Yarrowia lipolytica: one gene and its partner. Each later gene encodes a partner of the first gene's protein in a complex. Links are inferred from orthologs where the notes say so. Each region holds a gene or a part of one and is shown in the gene's direction. Other genes may lie near its edges.

Region 1 (10,741 bases):
CTGAAGAGGAAGACTCATGGGGGATGAAGAGGGAAAGGCATGAAAGAGGAAAAGAGCTGAAAAATGAAAAGAGCTGAAAGAGGAAACGAACTGAAAGAGGAAACGAGCTGAAAGAGGAAACGAGATGGATTGATGGAGAGGGAGAGATCTGGTCGGGTGATAGACAGCTATTATTCGGGCTTCTCATTCGGCTATTCGGAGATAAGACAAAAAACTGTTTTTAGCCCAATCTACGCGCTAAGGTCAATACTCCATAACCCGCCCAGAACCCGCCCAGAGTGTATCAGTCACGTATTCGAGAGTACGAGTAGAGTAGAGTAGCACTGGTGCACCCGTGCCCTTCATGTCTCTACATTTCGCCTCAAATCGCTCCAAACGGCACAGCAACCATGTAAAGTGAATCGGGGTCAACAGATGGTTAGACTGCTCAGCTTTAATTAGGGGGCTTCCAATTATAGCCTGGGAAGTCAGGGTCTAGCGGCTGTACAGTTACGTATTGTAGTCGGAAAAACGGAGAGAGCCGATTGAGAGCGACCACGGATTGATGTCATAACTCTTGCTGCGGTTTCCCCGTCTTTTTTCATCGCTTCTGGTGTCTGATTTCATTGGCTGGAAATGGCTGATTCAGTCCGCACAATCTTGTACACCACTGTAAATTTACCCGTTATTTCGGCTGGCTAAAAATACATGGCCAACCACACTGAGTTCACACAATCTGAGTTAAGTTGGAGGAGGATCAGACAGCAAAGCTACTGCAAGCTATAAATAGGTAATTTTGGGGGCTGAGGACGTCGGTTGCTGGGACGGGGAGAGGATATTGTGCCAAACAAACACGTGATTCGGCCTCTACGCGCCCCGCCGAGCTCGTCGGTACCCGATAAACGCGCTTTCCACGTCTTTTAGACCCAGAAAGGTGACCGAGTGCGTTGTAAATTCCATCCATGCACTCCCCAGAAGTTGCGTCATAACGTTAACGGGAGGAGGCTGTTTGGAGGTTGGAAAATTCCCAAGAATTGGAAAAAAAACTGGAAAAAACTGGAAAAACACCAGAAAAAACCAGACTCATATGTTTTTGCCCTTTTAACATCCTTTTATCTACTCTTAATATTCGAAACTGCTCCATTACGCCCGCAAATCTGCCTAGCATTTTGCTGGTCTGGAAAAAACCAAAAACGCATCGCAACCTTGACCGACCGTCGTTACCAACGTTGTTACAGATCCCCCTGAATGCTAAGAGATGGGGCAGTGGTCCACAGCAGCAGTCTGGGGCTGTATTTTGGGGCTGAAACGTGCGTGGTGATGGAAGGTGACTGCTGCAATCTCGCTGACAGCCCGAGTCTCACACGTTAATCCTCTCCTTAAAAGCACTGCCAAATAATATCCCAAGTGCGTGCGACACACACGACGGATTATTATCGTTGGTAAGCTGCAGTCAAGCGCACTGGAGACAATTGGAGCCACCTCGGACTAGCTAATGTGCAAAAAACACATGGTCCGGCATACGAAATGTGCAAGACACCGCGGTGGTGTGGCTGATTGGCGCCAACAGAGTCAGGTGATTGAAACATGCCCATCCAATGGTCGACTGTACGGTTGTACAATAGTCCCATGACCCTGTCAGATGGTTCTCACCACCCAGTGGTTACCCTCACACTGCCCCTCGCACTGCCGATCTCGAATCTTAACATTCCAGCTTGCAGGCACTCTCTTCGGGGCTCTGGCTCTGGACTGGCTCTGGAGGTGGCACGAGCCGCTTGGGGCGTCTAACTGGCCATTCAATTTAATTACCGCTTGCAGCTTGAAATCCTGTCATGTGACATTGCCGCGGTGTGAGCGATGACTCTCAGTGAGACGTGAATAATCCTGTGGCAAGGTGCAGTATCGTACTGGTACTGATGGGGGCATGAGAGGGTATATATAGACGGTTGGGAGTGTTTGGGAGCAGCTAGATTGACGTGTGAAGTTCCCCATCACAACATCAGCCATGTCACATCCCCAAAATACATATATATGTGCCCTCCTCGCGGCCACCAGCATCCCCTTCACCATCGTCCTCCTACTCACAACCCCTCACTATTTACCTCACCACCGTAGCTCCAAACCTTGTGCAGAAACCTTCAGGCTCAGCGCAGTGCGAAAAAAAAAAGCTTGGACGAAAAAAGGCAAAAGGGGAAAAAGGGAAAAAGGAAAAAAGGCAAAACGGCAAACCAAAACGAAACCACGGTTCAGGAGCTGCAATTTTCTTCATCCGGCATTTTCATTTCTCTACGCGACTTTTCACCAGCATCCAGTTGCACGACAACTTCCTCACCCCAGATACTCTTTTCTCATATCGAGAACACGCCGCCGAATTGTACTCCGTGCTTCTCCTGGACCACGACCCCGTACTTTCTCTCTCTCTCACACACAAGACTTTTACACTCACTTGAGCAGTTTCGACGCCGATTCGTTTCCCCTGTTTTCGACGACAGATACCGACTCTTCGACATACGCACAAGTACTTGCTACACCTCGACTGTGACACGACTGTGAACCCGTGAATCACCACTACAAGTAGAGACTTGTTACCCCCTCCCCCCAGTCACTAAAGCCGATTAAATCGTACAATCGACTCCTGACGTGACCCGTCCTCTCTTGGAATACCCGCCTCCGACCACCGACCTTGCACGCGCTGTTCCCCCGAGTACAAAACCTCTGGTTATATCGCTCACCGGCCCCGTTGCACAGAAGCACATTTTCCGTTCCCCCCTACGTCTAACTTCACATCTCTCTCTCCCGACTTAGTGCTTGTCTCCCAACCACACACACATACAAGCAAGGCTATTTTTAAAACAACCTTGTAGCCGGAAGAAAATCTAAACACGCGAGATCCAACAGAAAGTCAAACCGCAAGGCCTCACAACGGACCATCACACCAGTTCAGATTGAAAAACAAAAATGGTCGCCGCAAAAATCGTCTTTTCCACAGCGCTGCTGGCGCTAGTGGCCGGCGCCGCCACCGATGCAACCTCCAACAACGTTGCAGACCTCATGCAGAAAATTGTCGAGAAGGACGCTGTCCCCACCATCACAGACCACAGAGAGCCCCCGTTCGTGGTTGTTGAGAAACGACAATTCCAGGGCAACCAGGGCAACCAGGGTAACCAGGGTAACCAGGGAAATCAGGGAAATCAGGGCAACCAGCAGAACAACGCCACCTCCTCCATCCCCACCAACTCGGGCTCTTCCCAGGCAGGAGGCTTTTCTTCTAGCTCATCCCCGGGCTTCTTTTCATCCACGGAGATTTCTTCCACCGAGTCTAGCTCTTTCGCCGAGTCCACTTCCTCCGAGTCCTCCTCCCGGTTTGTGCCCTCATCCACCTCGACCTCCTCGGAGAGCTCCAGCTCTGAGATCTCTACGTCGACCTCCTCTGAGAGCTCCTCTACCACCGAGTCCTCTACCACCGAGTCCTCTACCACCGAGTCCTCCACCACCGAGTCCTCCTCCACCACCGAGTCCTCAACCACTGAGAGCTCCACGTCTGCATTTGTCCCCGTGCCTACCACGGAGTCATCCTCTGAGGCTTCTTCCTCTGCTTCTCCCTCTCCTACCTCGACAGAGTCCTCGGCCTCGCCTTCTCCCTCCACCACAGAAGGCCCCTCGTCAGAGTCTTCCACTGAAGTCACTTCCGACGCCGTGGTGTCGTCCACCCTAATCGACGCGTCCGGCGGCCGAACCACCGTTATCATGACCCTCACAAACACAAAGGTGACCTACGTCGGGTCCACAACCACTCTGCCTGTGGAGACCCCCACCGCAAGCGGAGTCACTGGCAACAACAACAAGTCTACGGGCTCGACCTCCCACACGGGCCGAAACGTCGGTATCGGTGTGGGAGTGGGTGTTGGTGTACCTGTTGTGGCAGCCGTCATTGGAGGTCTGTGGTGGTGGCGACGAAAGCGAGGAGGAGACACCCCCATGTACGACAAGGACGATCTCATCAGCGGAGGCGAGGACTCCAACGTGTTTCGATCCAACATTGACCAGTACCATGCGCCTAACCGGGCCAACTCCGCAGCGAACTTTTAAGCATGAAGAGTTCCACTCGAGCGCTTCCTTCCTTTCTTTCGCCTGCATGACATTGCGACCCAGTCTGATTGATTCAGACTGTCGGTCGGCTTTGGACCACTTTGCACTTTGCACATAGCTAGCCCAGCACATTAAAATACCCGGCACGTTACCCTTGCTTAACTGACCTAGTCAGTGGCTGTATTCAGTTAATAGATGATTTATGATAGACTAGATAGTGAGAGAGGTGTAGCGATGGGGTACGACAGTAGGGAGTCGCTGTTGATTCCACAGCCGTATGACGATGGGCAGTATCACCACATTGCGAAACCCATTGTGTGTTCAGCGATAGCGAGGGAGATATCTCATGAGGTGAAGTTGGAGGGATACAACTAAAAGCCATGCTCGAGCAGAGAGACATCAGGGTGCGTTGTTTTGGGTCTGGGAATGGCCATTTGATGGCTCATTCACTCTACAGGGAAGTGGAGCATTCCAGAACACATTCTTCTTTGGCCGACAGTCGCAGAAAGACAGTATTTTAGACGGTAGTTGTATGAGGGCAATGGGAAGGAATGAGAAGGATGTTTTAGAGATTCTGGAGATTCACAGTTTGAAAAAGGCTCACCCTACAAGGGCATGGAGTGGTCTTAGGTGCTATAGAACTCCAGTACATAGTTGTAGTGCTTGAAAGCTGCTGAAGGGGACTTTTAGGGATAGGTTCTTCCTGATTCCAAAGTCTTGAAAGACATATTGTCTATGACTACGTACATATTCATCTAGCAATGATAGTATCTACACTCCTCATTCAGTTCCTGATGAGAGATTGTGGCCTGTTACCCTTCAAGGAGATTACTGGTAGGTCACTAGGAGGCCAATAACAGCTCATTAACTAACTCCAAGTGAGTCCGAGGCCTCTATGATTTTTCTTTCAATTGAAAACGCCATCTTAGTCGTTGTGTCTTACTGGCGATGGCTATATGGCCTTTTCCTACAGTACCAATATATCTCCCTTAACCGCTTTACTACTACTCACAAACTACTTGGGTTTGTTACCACAGTTTAGTTATGTTGTGGCCATTATATATTAAAATATTATAAAAATATAATTATGGTTATAAAATTAATATATCCGGCTTTGTTCCTGTACTGCTCACTCAGAATAGAACTGTACAACTCCGCTCTGGTAAGTCATAGAAACATTCTGAAAAGTGCGTTTGGTTCCAAATCCGACAGGTAATTATATTATTCTCTTTTATCACCATGGAACTCTTTTTTCGTCCCTCTCCACCCTCTCAACCCTCATTACTAATCACCGTCTTCATGCACGTCCTGCAGAAAACTTTTTAGCTTTGAATCTTTTCTGCCGACCTTTTTATCCTCTACAACCACACAAAACCACACCATGACCAGCCTTGCTAACCGCAACATTGTCGGCATCGAGTCCGATCGAGTGACAAACGTGACTTCCACGGACTTCCCTGGCCACTGGCCTGGGGCCGACGACGCCTGGGACCTCGACAAGTTCGACAAGAACCTGCAGGTGAAGATCCATTCCCTGACCGACAATTACAGCAACTTTGACCTGATTGGCATCGACACGTCGCTGGCCAACGCCTTTCGACGAATCATGATCGCAGATATCCCCACCATTGCCGTCGAAGAGGTTTTCATCCACGCAAACACCTCCATTATCCAGGACGAGGTGCTGGCCCACCGGCTGGGTCTGGTGCCTCTGGTGATCAACCCCGAGCGAATCAACGCCCTGCCTCGAGGTCTGGACGCTTCCGAGATCGAGGACTACTACGACGACTCCAACACCTTTGTGCTGCGGCTCAATGTCACCTGTGAGCGACTGGCCGACGGCACCATGAAGAACGCCCACATCTACGCACGAGACATCACCTTTGATCCCATGGGCAACCAGTGCCAGTGGGTCAAGGACGAGGGGCTGGAGAACGTGTTCAAGGTCGCCAACCCCGACATTCTGATCGCCAAGCTGCGACCCAACCAGAGCATCAACCTGACCATGTTCTGCCATCTGGGTTTCGGACATGACCACGCAAAGTTTTCTCCCGTGGCCACCGCCTCCTACAGACTCATGCCCACCATCACCATCACCGGTGACATTACCGGTGACGAGGCCAAGAAGTTCCAAAAGTGTTTCCCCAAGGGCGTCATTGAGCTGGAGGGAGGCAAGCCCGTGGTGGCCGACGCCAGAAAGGACACAGTGTCGCGAGAAGTGCTGAGACACGAGGAGTTCAACGGCAAGGTCAAGCTCGGCCGACGACGAGACCATTTCATTTTCAACGTCGAGTCTTCCGGAGCTCTGGAGCCCGACGAGATCTTTCTCAAGAGCGTCATGGAGCTGCAGGCCAAGGCCCAGACGTTGAAGGCTGCTGTGAGTGGATACATGCAGCAGTAAGTGAGCTGGTCGAACCGCTAATGAGTAACACGCGCACCCAAGAGCGTAGCTGTTGATGGATCTTGTTGATGGTGTACATTGGGGGTACTTGCACGAAAAAGGCTGTCATTACACTGAGCTCTGTTCTACTACTAGTAGGATGGAAGGAGAAGGGAAAAGGATATATAGAGGAGGACTAATTGATAATGTAGCATATGTTGTATCCGTGGATTTGTATGTGGGACCGGAGCTGGAGATGGAGCGTAGGGTTCGGGAGTATAAGTGTGAATGAGAGTAGGATGCTGTTGTTCTTGTCGGTATAGTCGTTGTTCTTTATAACCGCCCCTCATCCGCTAGCTTCAGTATTAGTACAGATATAGCCCTGCCGACCACAGTTGTTGTAATACTTGGCCGCAAGTTTGGAGTCCGAAACCGAACATAAAAGGTCATTTATGAGTCGGAGGCGAATAAAACGATCTTTTACGAATCTACTGATGTTCTTCTCAACTCCATGTCTCCTACTGTAACTGCTCCACAAGTCTACACTGGCCAGAACATCCAGAACCAACAATTCTTCAACTATCGAAGAAAGAAAGAGATCTAAGTGATGAGAGACATCTATCGACTATCTAGTTGAACTCGGTAGACCAAACGGCCCTATATAGCCCTATATAGACTCCAATGGAGTAATGTATACGAGGTGTATAATGCCGAGGAACAGAACAATATATACTACATTTTGTACTCTGACGGTTAATAGGGTGTTTACTAAACGATAGACGACAGCGGAAATCTCTCTAGACCTTCTGCAATACTCCAGAGCGAATGTTGACTGTTTTGACCCTGACGTTTTTGTCCATACTCGTGCTCGGATAAATCCGCACTCGTTTATATGGCATCACTATTTCCGTCAAGAGAATCGCTGTAAGTAGACCGAATTGTCCACAGGGCCCTTCCAATTCCAACGGTTCTATCATCTTCACCCTCTGTCAAACAAAATATTTGAATATCAGTCACTGTACCTTTTCTGCGCATTTGTAACAACTTCTCCCTTCGCGATTATGTCCACTCCTCCACAATCCCACCGATAACCATCACCAATAGCCCTCTTTGGTCCAACCCCGCCTTCTAGCTCCTCTGGTCTTCTCTCTAGCGCGCCTTGGAGCTTTAGACCGCAGTTCCTGGACTAGAACCGGTCCACGGATGCCCCTAATGCCGCATTGGAGGAGTTCTATATGGGCAATATCTGACATTTATGAAGCGGAATAGACCCCATCCACTACGTGTAGGGCGAAGGAAACAACCACATCACTCTCTGGACAGCCACAGACCCCACTATCTGCTGTAGATGACCCTCCTACACCAAAACAAAACCGTTAGCATTAAATGTACACATTAAAATAAAAAGCCCGGGCTACTTGTACAGTAGCACCCGGGTATACTGGTGTTTTTTCGGACAAGGCGCTAAAAAACAAACGCGCCCGTCTCTGCTTTCTAACACCGCCTTGCCCCTCCAGAAACGCCAAAGTAGGTAACCCATATGAAATCCGTTTTTTTCATGACCTGTCCAGTCATATCATATCCATAGTTGCATCACTTTCGAGATTTTCCTCATGTCCTCCTTTTTTCCTCGGTCATCGTGAACGAATTACGCCCCCGCACGTGGTTCATCGCCTGAAAGCATACGCCTTGTGATACTGTGAGTAATCATCCAAAGGCTGGGTGCTCTGGCCCTGTGTCTGCTGTACCTGTGTGGTCTGTCCATACACATTCTGCTGCACAGTTTGCTGGACCGTCTGCTGCACATTCTGCACGCTCTGGATGCTCTGCTGTACCTGCTGCTCGTCGTAGTAGTACTCAGGGTAGTAGGGCTGAGCGTAAGGAGCAGGCATGGAGGTAGACAGGGATGACAGCGACGAGTTGACCGTGGCTGTCGACGTGGCTGTAGGGCCGCTCGGCTGGATGCAAGTGTCGCCAAAGTGGCCGTCGCGGTTTTCAAACACCACCTTGAACAGAATGCTGTTTTTGAACAGCATGTCTCTGACCTTGGCCCGCACGACCGGTGAGGTGATGTTTTTGCGGCGGATCTTGCTGAGTTCGGCCGCCACAAACTCCCACTTGGCCCGCTCGCCGTCGTCCAGCAGCGCCTTGAGACCCATGTTGTCCTCGGGGTCCCAGTAGACCGATCCGGAGCCTTGTTGGCCCATGAGCACCTGGTATCTGTTTCGGGCGGCCAGCGCGTTGTCGCAGTGTGCAGCCTCGCCAATTTCGTGCCATCCCTTGCCGGCCTTTTTCATGCTCAGAATGATTTTGTCCTGCTCGGACGAGTACTTGGACTTCTTTTTGGGACGGTCCGAGTTGGCCGACCGCATCACCTGCATGTTGGGGGGCACAGCGGCCGCCAGAGGGGGTAGCGATAAGGTGAGAGGGAGCACTAGGGGCGGAGTTTGGGAGCCATTGGCTGTCGGCGTGGGTGGTGGGCCAATGGGATTGCCTTCGGCATCTCGATTAACGTCCGTCACCAGCGCTATCGACGAATGCGCCTTGTAGTAGCGGGGGGTATCTGTGGCTGTCTGGGAGGTGTGGTCCAGCTGGTCTGCCGAGCGTTTGAGAGAGGGCCTGTCTGTGTTCATGACGGTGTGCATGTGGTCGTCGTGTTTGTGAAGTCGCGGTAGCGGCAGTCGGGGAGCCTCGTCGTAGTTGTACCCGTCATGGGGAGGGTAGTATGGGTGCATGGTTGGCTGTGTGTGCGAAAGCCGAGTAATGGCAGAGAAATGAACCGGGTCTAAGTTATTGCGATGAAAAAGATGCGGTATCTGGGTTGAGTCTGTCGAATGGCAGTTTGTGCACGGTCGTTAGTTGTCTGCGTCAAGTGTGTGTCTGAGCCTGGTGATGTATCTCTGTTGGGCAACTTGGTGAGTGCACTGGAGGTTGGTGTTTTTACTGGTACAGCGCTCACTGTAAGGTATCGTGTGTCTGTTAAGGTACGTTCTTCCGTCTGATATCGTATCTGGGTGTCTCGTACAGTGTATGTGAGTGTCAGGGGTGGCAGGTAGGTAAGATTGGTGTGGATGGGTTGTCAGAACGGTGGCTGATTGGTCGTTCTGGACAGTTGGTCGTTCTGGACAGTTGGTCGTCAGTGGTCGTCAGTGGTCGCCAGTGGAGGTTGGTTCTCGTCACAAAGCGCTGGCAACTAAACGTCTGGCAATTTCAACTCCAGTCTTGTGCCCACAGTCCACAGTCGTATGGTGAATGTTAGATCCCCTATTTCATGCACCTTGTCTGCTCCAAGGTTCGGTTTAGGGGGAGCGAGAGGCGGCGTGGAGAAGTGGTGTTGGCGGCGTGGAGAAGTGGTGCTGAGAAAGAAGGGAACAGATAATCCTACAGATCCAGACGTGGGTAGGGCAACGTGTGTCCAGAGACTGTCGCCAAAAAGATGCTCGGTCTGGAGACGAGCGCCGGTGGTATATATTATATGACTCGGTGATGGGTCGGAAGTTAACTTGACAGATTGGCTGGTGCAACTTTATTTGGGGGTGGTTTTGCGAGGGGCTTGGGGGCCGCGGGCGGCTACTAGGCGACACCGTTGGACTCGTCTCGGCGCGCAGAGTGTCGTCGTCTTTTCCATTTTCCAATCGCGCGCCGGGATCTCGCACTGGCCGCCATCTTAGCTCTGTCTCGTCCTAGCTCTGTCTCGTCCTTGGCCCCAATCCGCTCCTCCAAAAAAACAAAACAAGGTATGTATGGCACTGGCCAGACAATAAGGGGGTGAAATTACAATGTGACGTGGAAACCCGTGGAACAAAAGCGTCCAGTCAGTCACACAAGGGTGCCAGGTTTAGACAGGTTGTGCGATGGGGTGAGCAGTCATAGGTGGGAAAGACGACATATATTTGCGGTTATACGGTGGTCCAAAAATGATGATCTCGAGACTTTTTTCACCACCTTTTTCACCATCTTTTTCACCATCTTCTCACTTTATTCTTCTCTCTTCCTCCTCCTCCTCAAGTCGCACTACCATCTCCTTGTTAGTACCCTTTGTATGATAGGTATTGGAAGACAGGTACATACTGTACATTGTACAGTCGATACGAGACCGTAATTACCGTGCTGAACCGTGCGGAGCCGCGGCTGCTATGATTATCCCTGCCTCACAAATGCCTGCCCCTGTACACAGTGCAGGTACGCCATACGAGGGGGATGAGTGGGAGTGGGAGTGGGAGTGGGAGTGGGAGTGGAGATGGGAGTACAAGCATGAGTAGTGATTGTCGTTTTGGTGGTGACCTGGGGTGT
Region 2 (10,200 bases), on another chromosome or scaffold:
CCTGTTACCGCAGCTGTCACGACAGCCTGTCCCCCCGCCTGTCTTACAACCATGCCCATCACTTCCCTCGTATGGTCCGATTCTGCATGCATCAAAATGTGGCTGAAAATAAAACGGCAACACGGACGAGTGTGGTAATAGAGGCAAAACACGTCATATATCCTTTCAAAGACCACAGATGTTCTTCTGTCTCTTGGTCACACCGCCCATGCCACGTTCCACCTCTGCTCCTTCTTTCGGTCCCACTTTTGCCTCCTCCAAAATGGGCTCATTAGCCACATCTGTCATCCAATGAAAACGTCTCGAAAAACCCCGTTTCGATACTCACCCGAAACACCAAGAATAGACAGAACGGTCAGTCGATGGAACACGTCCATCGACACGATATACCAAGCTCGCTTAGCAGCCATTGTGTGTTTTTGGTTGGAACTGGAATGGGGTGGTGGTGAGGAAGAGGTCAAGCCTAACTTTGGAAGCACACTACTAAGCTTAGCGTTGCACATATAAATTTTTCTTGCTTATGTAAGGCAGTGTTTTTCTGAAATTAACCACTAAGATAGTTCTGGAGCAATATATGAGAGAGGCAGTATAATACTACCAAGATGAGTAAGACGCGTGGGTGACATACTTTTTGTTGTTTCCAAAGTTGGTCTTCTTATTTTTGCACCGTTTCTTCTGCGACTCCTTGTGTGTGGTACCTGTCTGTTCTGTTCGTTTGGTTCATACATCAACGATCTTCCCAGCAAGGTAAATCTTCATCGACATGAACCGGTGGACCAGATGTTGGGGGATCACCAACATAGCTCGACGACCAAAGCAGGTGAAATGGGGCGCGGCGGGAGTGAATATGCTGCGACCAACAACTCGCGCCCTGCCACTTGCTCAGAAAATCCACCAAGCCAGTGTTTTCAGAAAGAACGATGATTTGGATGACAAGAGACAGAAAAATCCTGATTTCAACAGAGACAGAAACAGCAATGAAATGGAAAACCATGAGGACGGAGAGGAACACCAGAGGCTCGAGGCTGAACACTCAGCGGCCGAAGAAGACATCTCCGACGCCGAAGAACACATGGACGAGGAGGAACATAAAGATCACCAGGAAGAGGAGGACCCTCATCACTTTGCATTTTCAGACAATTATTCGGAGGCCGTTCTGGGAGGCGAAATCTCGGCCACGGTTTTTGATGTGACAGGCAAGGTGGTCCACGTTGCACACAAAATGACCAAGTATGAGTTTCTGCTGGAACATGGCCTTTACCCTCGAGACTTGAGAAACATTGATCCCAGCCCTGTTTCTATTATTCCTTCGATTCTGGCACGAGGTCGCAAGGGAGCTGGACGATGCATCCTTGTCAACTTGTTACACATTAAGGCTCTGATTCTCCACGACAAGGTGCTTATCTTCGACACCCATTCCAAGAACAAAAGTGATACTCACCGACTGGGCATGTTTCTGTACGAGCTGGAGAACAAGTTGAAGCCGACAATCAACCCAGAAAAGATGCATACGGACATGACGGTGCTGCCGTTTGAATTGCGAGTACTGGAGGCGATTTTGGTCAACGTTATGACGACTCTGGATGGAGAACTTCAGGTGCATCTTAAGACCCTGAACGAGATTCTGGTGGGTCTGGAAGATCATGTGGACCGAGAACAGCTCAAGGAGCTGCTGATTGGAAACAAAAATGTGTCGCGATTCTACCAGAAGGCTGTTTTGATTCGAGACGTCCTGGAAGAGTTACTGGAGTCAGATGACGATCTACAGCAGCTGTATCTGGGCACTCACCCGAAGGAAGGGCTTGCGGAAGTCGAGCTGCTGATTGAGTCGTACTGCAAGCAGGCCGATGAGATTGTCCAACAAGCCTCCAACGTGCGATCTCACATTCGATCAACCGAGGAGATTGTCAACATCATTGTGGACGCGAATCGAAACGCTCTGATGCTGTTGGAGCTCAAGGTGACCATTGTGACGGTCGGTTTTGCGGTCGGGGCCTTTGTGGCTGCGCTGTACGGTATGAACTTGGAGAACTTCATTGAGGAAACCAACGAGGGAATGGTTCTGGTGGTGGGTGTGGCGTGTCTGGGCGGTCTGCTGGTAACGTGGTTCAACCTTACCAAGCTACATAAGACGCAGAAGATTGCCATGTTCAGCAACGCCGCTACCCACACTGCCAGCAAGCCGTACATGTTGCAGTGGATTATCGGTTTACTGAGAAGAAAGCGAACCAAGAGCAGGTTTGACAATATCGACATGAGCAGACCAAAGATGAAGGGCAAAAAGTCCAACATTCTGCATCAGTTGACCAAGATGACGGGCAAGAGGAGATAGATAGACGTAGACACCATGCACAACAACTCCCCTTATTTATAATAGATATAGACGGTACATATAACACATTGAATGAATACAGTAGGTCCTTTTTCAGAGCATATCACAATGGCGCAGAGGTATTCTACTTGAGTAAAACTGACAGATACATAAGGGTACCACATCACTTACTGTACTGTAGTTGTACTTGTAACGTATTTCAGTCATTCAATACGATAAGTCCATTTATTTACACAGTCTGTCTACACTTGGAACGTTGGTGGCATAGTCAGAGGTAGCGTAGCCAGAACGGTACCTTTCCACAGTATGGCCAACGCAATGGAGTGGCAGTGTCATGGCAACCAGACTGGATGTTGTCAGCTCATGACCTATGGCCATTTGCTTCCGTTACAATCCAGTTAGTCGCTCCGCAGCAAGATTCACATCTCCACTCAAAGCCTCACTTGATCCCACGAACCGTTTAATCTCTCCCTGGATGTTGTCTCCCACTCCGTCGGCAATGAGAGCCAGATCTGGCCGGATGTGTTTGATCACGTGGATAACTCCCACGTCTGTGTCGCACCGAATCACCTTGACGCCATGATCGTGTCCCACGCTCGATTTCAGAGCCCGATGGAACTTGTTGGCAACCATGGGAGGCACAATGACCACCAGGTTGGGATGGACGCTCATCAGATGCTTGAAGTCGACCAGCTGCGATTGAACCAGCTCCTGTGACACCACGACGGTGATTTTGCTATTGGTGGCCGTCGACTTGGGGCTCTTTGTGCTGGACTTGGACGAGCTCTGTACTGAACTATCAAATGTGTCTTGGTCTGAGTTGCTCTTGGCAACAAACGAATAAACGAGGTATGCAACTGCGGCGGCGGCAGCTGCGGCCCCAATGACAGCGGGCAATCGTGTTTTTCGCGGGGCCATGGTCGTAACAGGGAGATGTAGTGTGAGGTTGCAAGGGTGTGAGGTACAGCGGGGGACTCAAGGTTTGTTGGGGTACTGTTGATGCGCAATGTACGTGATATCGGCAGCTAAGGCGGGAGGTTGTGACTTGGGTAGGAGAGGAATATAAGGGGTTTGGAAAAGTATCATCTGAAAACAGGAAACGCGCTAGATATTCTTGTGTAGTCCGTTTGCTAATCAGACTACCACATATTCAGTTTTCATCAATACAACAGAAACAAGACTCTCGTTAAACTTTCGGGAGAACCCTCCTACAAACCGTGAGAAGGGTACGAATACCGGTCACTGACTGTATTGAGAGATACAGGTTAAGAGTGTATGAAAAAGAAGTGCGCGATATTCTTGTTATCCCGGATCACGAGATTGAGGCTGAATCCGGCTCTTTTGGCTTACCAAATGGCCTACAGTAGCTACTCACTAACCACGATAACTGCAGCCAGCTCGCACATGCACCTCGGCCCAAAGGGGTTATACAAGTGTTGGATAGTGGATAATATATGGAGCATGACAGGCGGGTCACGTGGTCATTTATTACGGAGTATATATCACGTGTCTGAAGTAGAATGAAAGTAGTCACGTGGTCACAAAAAAAGTAGAGAATCACGTGACTCTTTCCAGACGACAGACACACACAACAACAACAACAACAACAACAACAAAAAAGTGGCATGTACAAGTAGTCCCTTCGCTTCTTGCATGCTTTGGCTCTGGAATTTAACTCTGATCAGATCAACTCCACCTCACATGCCAACACTGCTCTTTTCAGGAACAACAACATGTGTGTCGCACTTGTACACGATTCTCAAGGCGATTGCGCTCATGTCCAAGCATGTGAGTCTCGAAATCATGTCTGACGGGTTCAAGTTCACCGTGGATGTGGACAGCAGATCCAGTCAGGCCGTGGTGCTGGTCAAGAAAAACCTGTTTTCGATGTACAACTTCAACGATCAGGATGCCGAAGGATCTGATGACGAGCCCGCCTTCTTTCCACCCTACAGATTGTCTCTAGCTTCGCTGACCACGTGTCTCGAGATGTTTGGCAAGAATGACGTGATTAGTGACAAAGCGGGAGGTAATGCTGAGGACCGAAGAGTTGATTCTTCGGGAGCATCGCAGACGTGTCGAATCCTTTACTCTGGGCCAGATCACCCGCTCAAATTCGTGTTTCGAAACGACCAGTTTACGACTTCGTGTGAATTTCTGAATCAGGATACAGACAAGCAGTCGGAGAGTCTGAATCTGGACCCCAGCGAGGTGGTTCTCAAGGTGATTCTGTCGGCGCATCTGCTGACCCAGGCTCTTCGTGATTTGGAAGGTGCCAAGTCGCAGTATGTGCGGATAATAGCTCAGACTAGAGCGATTCCTCATTTCAGATTGGAGAGCACGGGCGAGTTTGGACGCAACGTGATTGCTTATCCTAACGAGAGAAATGTTTTGGATACCTTTGTGATTGACGACCCGGACCAGGATCCAGAGGGAAACGTCATTGTACAATCGGGATACCTATTTGGTGAGCTGGTCAAGTGCAGAGAGGCCGTGGGGGTCAGTGAAAAGGTGTGTCTGCGAATGGACGTGTACGGGAGACTGTCGGTTCAGAGTATGTGTGTGGTTGATGAGGCCAGGAAGACGTTTGTGGACTTTCGGTTTAATGCTCATGACGAATATTAACGGGAGTACAAGCCTAAAGGTCTGAATGGACAACTTCGAATGCACTGCTTTGGACATGCCATTAGCGGGCCACCTGTGCATTACTGTAACTGACTGCACAACTTGTCACTTCAAGACATGGGCATATAACTATCCTTGTGAAGAAGCCTTGACCGCTGTCCAACAATGTCAATCCGCCAAATCGCTAACCTGATTCCATACGATACCCCACTCTTTCTCGCCGCTCTTCACGGTGTTGGAGCTGAACTGTTTGATGGACCCTACTACAGACATGCCACTCATCTTCCTACGATGGAATACTCAATTGCAGTCACCTACAGATGTGCTAACATCTCCTACAAGCAGACACAGCTATATTGGGTGATAGATTTCCCGCGTTATTTTAACTCTCTGTGACCAACTGCTCGCTCCTCCGTTCAGCCTCGTCACTACCACCAGCTTCTCGCGGGCTGTGGTATAATCGACATGGTGCTTCTTCACATCAGTATCGATTCGCTGACTAATCCGCCTCCACCACCGCCACAACATCATAAAACTGACTAATCATTCTCAGCTATGTCTCCCAGTCCTGTCTGCGTCCTGCTGGCTGCAGGTTTGACAAATTTCCTCCCACCATGCATGTTCACGTGACCAGGAAAGGCAAAATTTAAAAATTTGGAATTTTATCCTGTCTGCAAAAACACCCCAACGTCATGGTCGCCAAAACGATTTCGGAGACGCAAGAGGTGCTGAAAAGCATGGCTCTCAAGCGTAAAAACCCCGTCGACTCGGCCACCGGAATCTCCGAGTGTTTCCACAAGGTCTCGACCTCCATGTATGTGTCTCTGGCGCCCATGTTCAGCCAGAAGCCCGTGGCTGGCATCAAAAGCCAGCATCTGGACCCACTGGTGGCCCGCTACTTTGCTCCTGCGGGCGGCGTGGTTCTGGCACATTACAACCTCAAGCTGTACAAACGGGGAAGCGACTCTGAGGGCTCTGCTGTCATGGGCAAGTTTGTCAACGAGTCCCCATTCACCTTCATGTGGATTAGTACAGACCTTCTTGTGTGGAAGCCTCAGGTCGGCGACCGTCTGGAGGGATACGTAAACATGCAGACTCCTTCTCATATCGGTCTTCTTGTCCACGACACCTTCAACTGTTCCATCAAGTACGCCAACATTCCTGAGGACTGGGTCTTCACTCCCTTTGCTGAGTCAGGACAGCCGACAGCCGCCAAGAAGGACCGAGTTCGTCAGTCCATGGGCTACTGGTCGGACGGCTCTGGCAAGCGAGTCGAGGGCAAGCTGGAGTTCATCATCAAGAGCGTTCACACTGCCAACATGGTTTACCTGTCTGGTTCTCTGGTTGATACCTATCCCGCACAGTCAGGGGGCGCTGTGAGCGAAGAGCCCCAGCGAAAGAAGACGAAATTCACAGACGAGGATCCCATCGAGGAGATTGCCGAGGAAAAGGCAGAGGAGGAAGATAAGGAGGTTGAGCAGAAGGAGGAGGACGCCGCACAGGCCAAGATTGGCTATGATAGCGACAGTGCTGCAAGTGACGATAGCGACAGTGATTAGAGGAGGAGAGCGAGCTGAGATAAGAAGCGAGCTGAGGCGAGGGAGCTCAGAAAAGCAATGTTGAAATGAGCACGTTCAGAAAAAAGGAGGGCATAGAGTGTATATATAACTAACGGTGAGAGGTGGAGGAGGGATGAGTGCTCAAGCGCTTGTTTTTCTACACTTTTTAGTATATCCTAGGTGTGTGTAGATGTGTGGTATTGTACTTGTGTTGAAAGTCTTGCTGTAGTATATACTGTGTTTAGTGTCTCTCATGAATGTTCTCATCACAATAGAGGTGCACCATAGAAGGACGAGTATACTAATGAATGGATAAAAGTGCCAGACAGTTGTGAGACGTTTGCCGATAATACATCCGGGGTGTTTCCGACTACAATACAAGTACAGCCTGAGTATTGGTTGCCTTTCAGCTACAGTTTGATGACACTTAACGACCATTACTCGCAAAGTTATTATTACATGTGGTACTCTAAGGTATGCCAATCTACTCGCATTTTTCGTTCTGAATACTATTTGGTTTATTTTTGCACATCTTTTTAGTACTAAAAGGTCCAGTTATCAGCACTTTTTTTCACTCGATCAAGTTCAGTATATCCCAAGTGGGACTGTTATTGAAACCTTGCATTTAGTTGCATGACAAGTGCATGACAAGTGCAACCAACAAGATTTCGTTAAACGAGAGCCAATACAACAAGATGTGATTACACGGTGGTGGTTGGCATAGCTAGAACATGATCAAATTGATGAATAAGCACTATGAATTGGGTAGTGTTATCTTTCTTTTTTTGGTTTATTGCAAGTACTTGTACTTTTACAAGCACAAGGAGTGGAACATATGCTGTATCGATACAGTTAGTGTAATACTTGCTATGGTGGAAGCTAAAAGGATGGTCTAGAGGGGATATCTAGAGCACTTGTACTTGGACTTGTATATGGAGGGCAGAGAACCAAGTGTGGAGTTGATATCAAGGAAGCTATATCTATTGACTGCAAGACTGCAAATTCAGCGTTTGAATTTATCGACCCCTGGTCCATTGCAACTGCTTCTTTAGGTGTTGTTCATGGTCCATTGATATGGCCTGCTGCCAATGATGGAAAAGGAAGAGTCAATGATAACTGAAGAGGGGATATGAGATTTGTTTCAAAACAGGAACTCGAAAAAAGAGCTGTTTCTTTGTTATAGGGGCTTCTCTTGATACACTATTGACTTTTCTATTCAGTAAAATAATACAAGACTACTGAATGTATCATATATTCATGTTTCATTAAGATTTTTAGATCTTTTATATGTTTTTATATAGGTATGTACTGGTACAAACCGAATTATGTTCCACCAACACACAATTCATGTCCAGAATGATTTGTACTAACACTGGCGAATAATACAGTATGTACATCAATAATCAGTGTGGCGTCCGTGAGACTCAATTGTATAACATTTATCACCACTTGTCTCGTTAGAAGTGTCAGAAGGAAGCACTATCACAGCTAGATATCGTCGGGTAGAGGGCTGTGTAAGGCTATGGCCATCTACAGTATATAGGAAGCAGATAAGAGTTCCATAGATCATGACCCTGGTTGAACTGTCATCAGCGAGTCTCACTGACCGAGAGGGTCCCGAATGTGCACGGCTTTCAGAGTATGTGTCTCCCTAGCTACTTGTACAGGAGGTTCTTCGGCGAATACGATGTGCCGCAGAAGTCCTACATTGCAATTAACAACATCCTTGATACACAACTGTGTTGATGTATGTCTTCCCCGATCCTGAGACCGTCATTCATCAGTGCCACAGCAGATCTCATGGTTGTGGTACTGTATGACATGTGCGATACATACAGCCATGCAAAACTTTTCTTACTGCCATTACACATCTCCAATCACTCGCTACTCTTACATGTCTACAATCTCTCAGATATTAAATAAGCCATGTGGCATTTTATTGCTTACGCTTTTGATTGCAACGCATTTACTGAGAAGCAATGGAGTCGAGGAGGAACTGTCGAGCCTCGGAGTCCTCACCCCAGTTGGTGATGACGACACAAGAAGCACCGACGACCTTTCGGGCGTTACCCTCTCGGTCGAGCTGGCAGAGACCAGCCCACTCACCGAGCTGCTTGGCATCGGGGACCTTGACAAGGGGGATCTTCTCCTCGGGCTCGTTGCAAAGAGCCTCAACGAGCTTGAGGTAAGACTCGTCGGTGACAGAGTCACACAGGACACAGAGCTCGGCCTCTCGTCGAGAAAGGGCCTTAGAGCACTCTCGCAGACCTCGGACGAGACCGTCGTTAATGACAGCCTTCTTCAGGACGGTCTTGAGGGCATCCTCGAGGGTAAGTCCTCCGGAGGGAGCAGCGGCGGCAACCTCAACTTCAGCGATAACTTCAGAATCAGACTGGGTTAGAATGATGGCAGCGAGTGATTGTCGTTTGTTTCGACTTCGTTCGGATAACGATTTGGATGCTTTTTGAGCGACCTCGAGAGATTATGTCAATGATTTGCTTCATTTTTCCTTGCAAATAAATGAGACAAATCCCATAGTTTCTCCATTTGGATCGCTCGACATCCTCACCAAGATGGCCTCGTGATTCCCTCTGTCATACTCACCATTTTTAAATGGACTTCCTCACAATTTCTGAACTGTTCAGTCTTGTTGGAGAGTTATAACGTCGAAAAGTTTCATTATTTGGGTGAACGCATGTGTGACTGTTTTCCCGATTGGGAAGTATCATGTGACCTGGTGACGATTTGGGACGGCTGCAGTTTTGGGTGTCGTGGGTTCGATTCGTGGTGTCGTAGTATTAAATTATTATCTGGAACACACTACACAGATTCACCGTATTTCCGGGCATGAAATAATGTGACTGTCTCGATAAAAATATATTTATTCAAAAATCCACCCTAGATCCGCGTCCACACGTGCTCTTAAACTTCCTGATCATGTCCGTGCAAAAACTGTGTTCTGAACAACCCCAACAGTCGAACATTTACCTACAGTTCAAGCCTTTTGTAAGGCGATTGAACTATATCGGGAGCTCCAGATAGACCTCAGTCAGCCGTTTAAAATACATATTCCGGTAGCCCGTAGAGAGACAGGGAATGTAAAGTGACTTTCATTTATTTTTCGTGCTACCAATTGACACACCCCATAGCTGCTACACCAAGTGCAAGTACATACTGCACCGGTGTGTACAGGTACTTGTACAGCACAGTGTGTATAGCCCCTCAGTCGCTTCAACAAACGGAAGCAGCCGCCCAAATACACTGAGAATGATACCAACTTCCGCTTTCTCCATTTGCTCCCATTGTTTGCAGTTTTGTTGATTCCTCAAGCCGTCCTATGCACTTCGTATTCGTCTTGAGACCGAGTCTCAGCAAATGAAACAGGCTGCTGCTGACCCTGCACACGAGAGAGGTGCAGGAGGAACATATCTCACCCAAGACTGAGACATGGGCCCATGTTGGCGCACTCGCAGCGTGTTTTACTCTTTTACTCTGTTGTTCTACCCCCATATGGAAGTGGTTGCATGAGACATAGTGTAAACATGTGAAGATACAACCACTGCACTTCAGGCGATGGTGTATTGCAACAGCTGGTTGCCTGGGACCCTTTTTTCGGAGTGCACAGAGCCGGATAAACAGACAAAAAGAAATACTAGCAGCCATTACTTCTTTTTGTATCGCCCC

Evidence for each region.
Region 2: YALI1_E28465g (region 1) and YALI1_F09265g share a complex: the UniProt entries of both Saccharomyces cerevisiae proteins name them as parts of the RNA polymerase I (Pol I) complex. The link is inferred for Yarrowia lipolytica from reciprocal best matches to the Saccharomyces cerevisiae genes RPC40 and RPA43.

Annotation. Positions count from the first base shown.
Region 1 is NC_090774.1:2,841,241-2,851,981, reverse strand, and holds YALI1_E28465g (uncharacterized protein), read left to right. Parts: upstream 1-5,449; coding exon 5,450-6,469; downstream 6,470-10,741. Other genes in the region: YALI1_E28504g (uncharacterized protein), read right to left, coding at 1,231-1,467, 1,518-1,574; YALI1_E28491g (uncharacterized protein), read right to left, coding at 2,548-2,748, 2,805-2,810; YALI1_E28490g (uncharacterized protein), read left to right, coding at 2,938-4,068; YALI1_E28439g (uncharacterized protein), read left to right, coding at 6,525-6,665, 7,910-7,975, 8,020-8,091; YALI1_E28428g (uncharacterized protein), read right to left, coding at 8,116-9,183; YALI1_E28425g (uncharacterized protein), read left to right, coding at 9,283-9,444, 9,492-9,707. UniProt on the Saccharomyces cerevisiae protein: DNA-dependent RNA polymerases catalyze the transcription of DNA into RNA using the four ribonucleoside triphosphates as substrates.
Region 2 is NC_090775.1:922,006-932,205, reverse strand, and holds YALI1_F09265g (uncharacterized protein), read left to right. Parts: upstream 1-5,649; coding exon 5,650-6,516; downstream 6,517-10,200. Other genes in the region: YALI1_F09317g (uncharacterized protein), read right to left, coding at 329-503; YALI1_F09314g (uncharacterized protein), read left to right, coding at 764-2,332; YALI1_F09289g (uncharacterized protein), read right to left, coding at 2,720-3,250; YALI1_F09282g (uncharacterized protein), read left to right, coding at 3,986-4,957; YALI1_F09230g (40S ribosomal protein eS12), read right to left, coding at 8,483-8,908, 9,121-9,123. UniProt on the Saccharomyces cerevisiae protein: DNA-dependent RNA polymerases catalyze the transcription of DNA into RNA using the four ribonucleoside triphosphates as substrates. Component of RNA polymerase I (Pol I) which synthesizes ribosomal RNA precursors.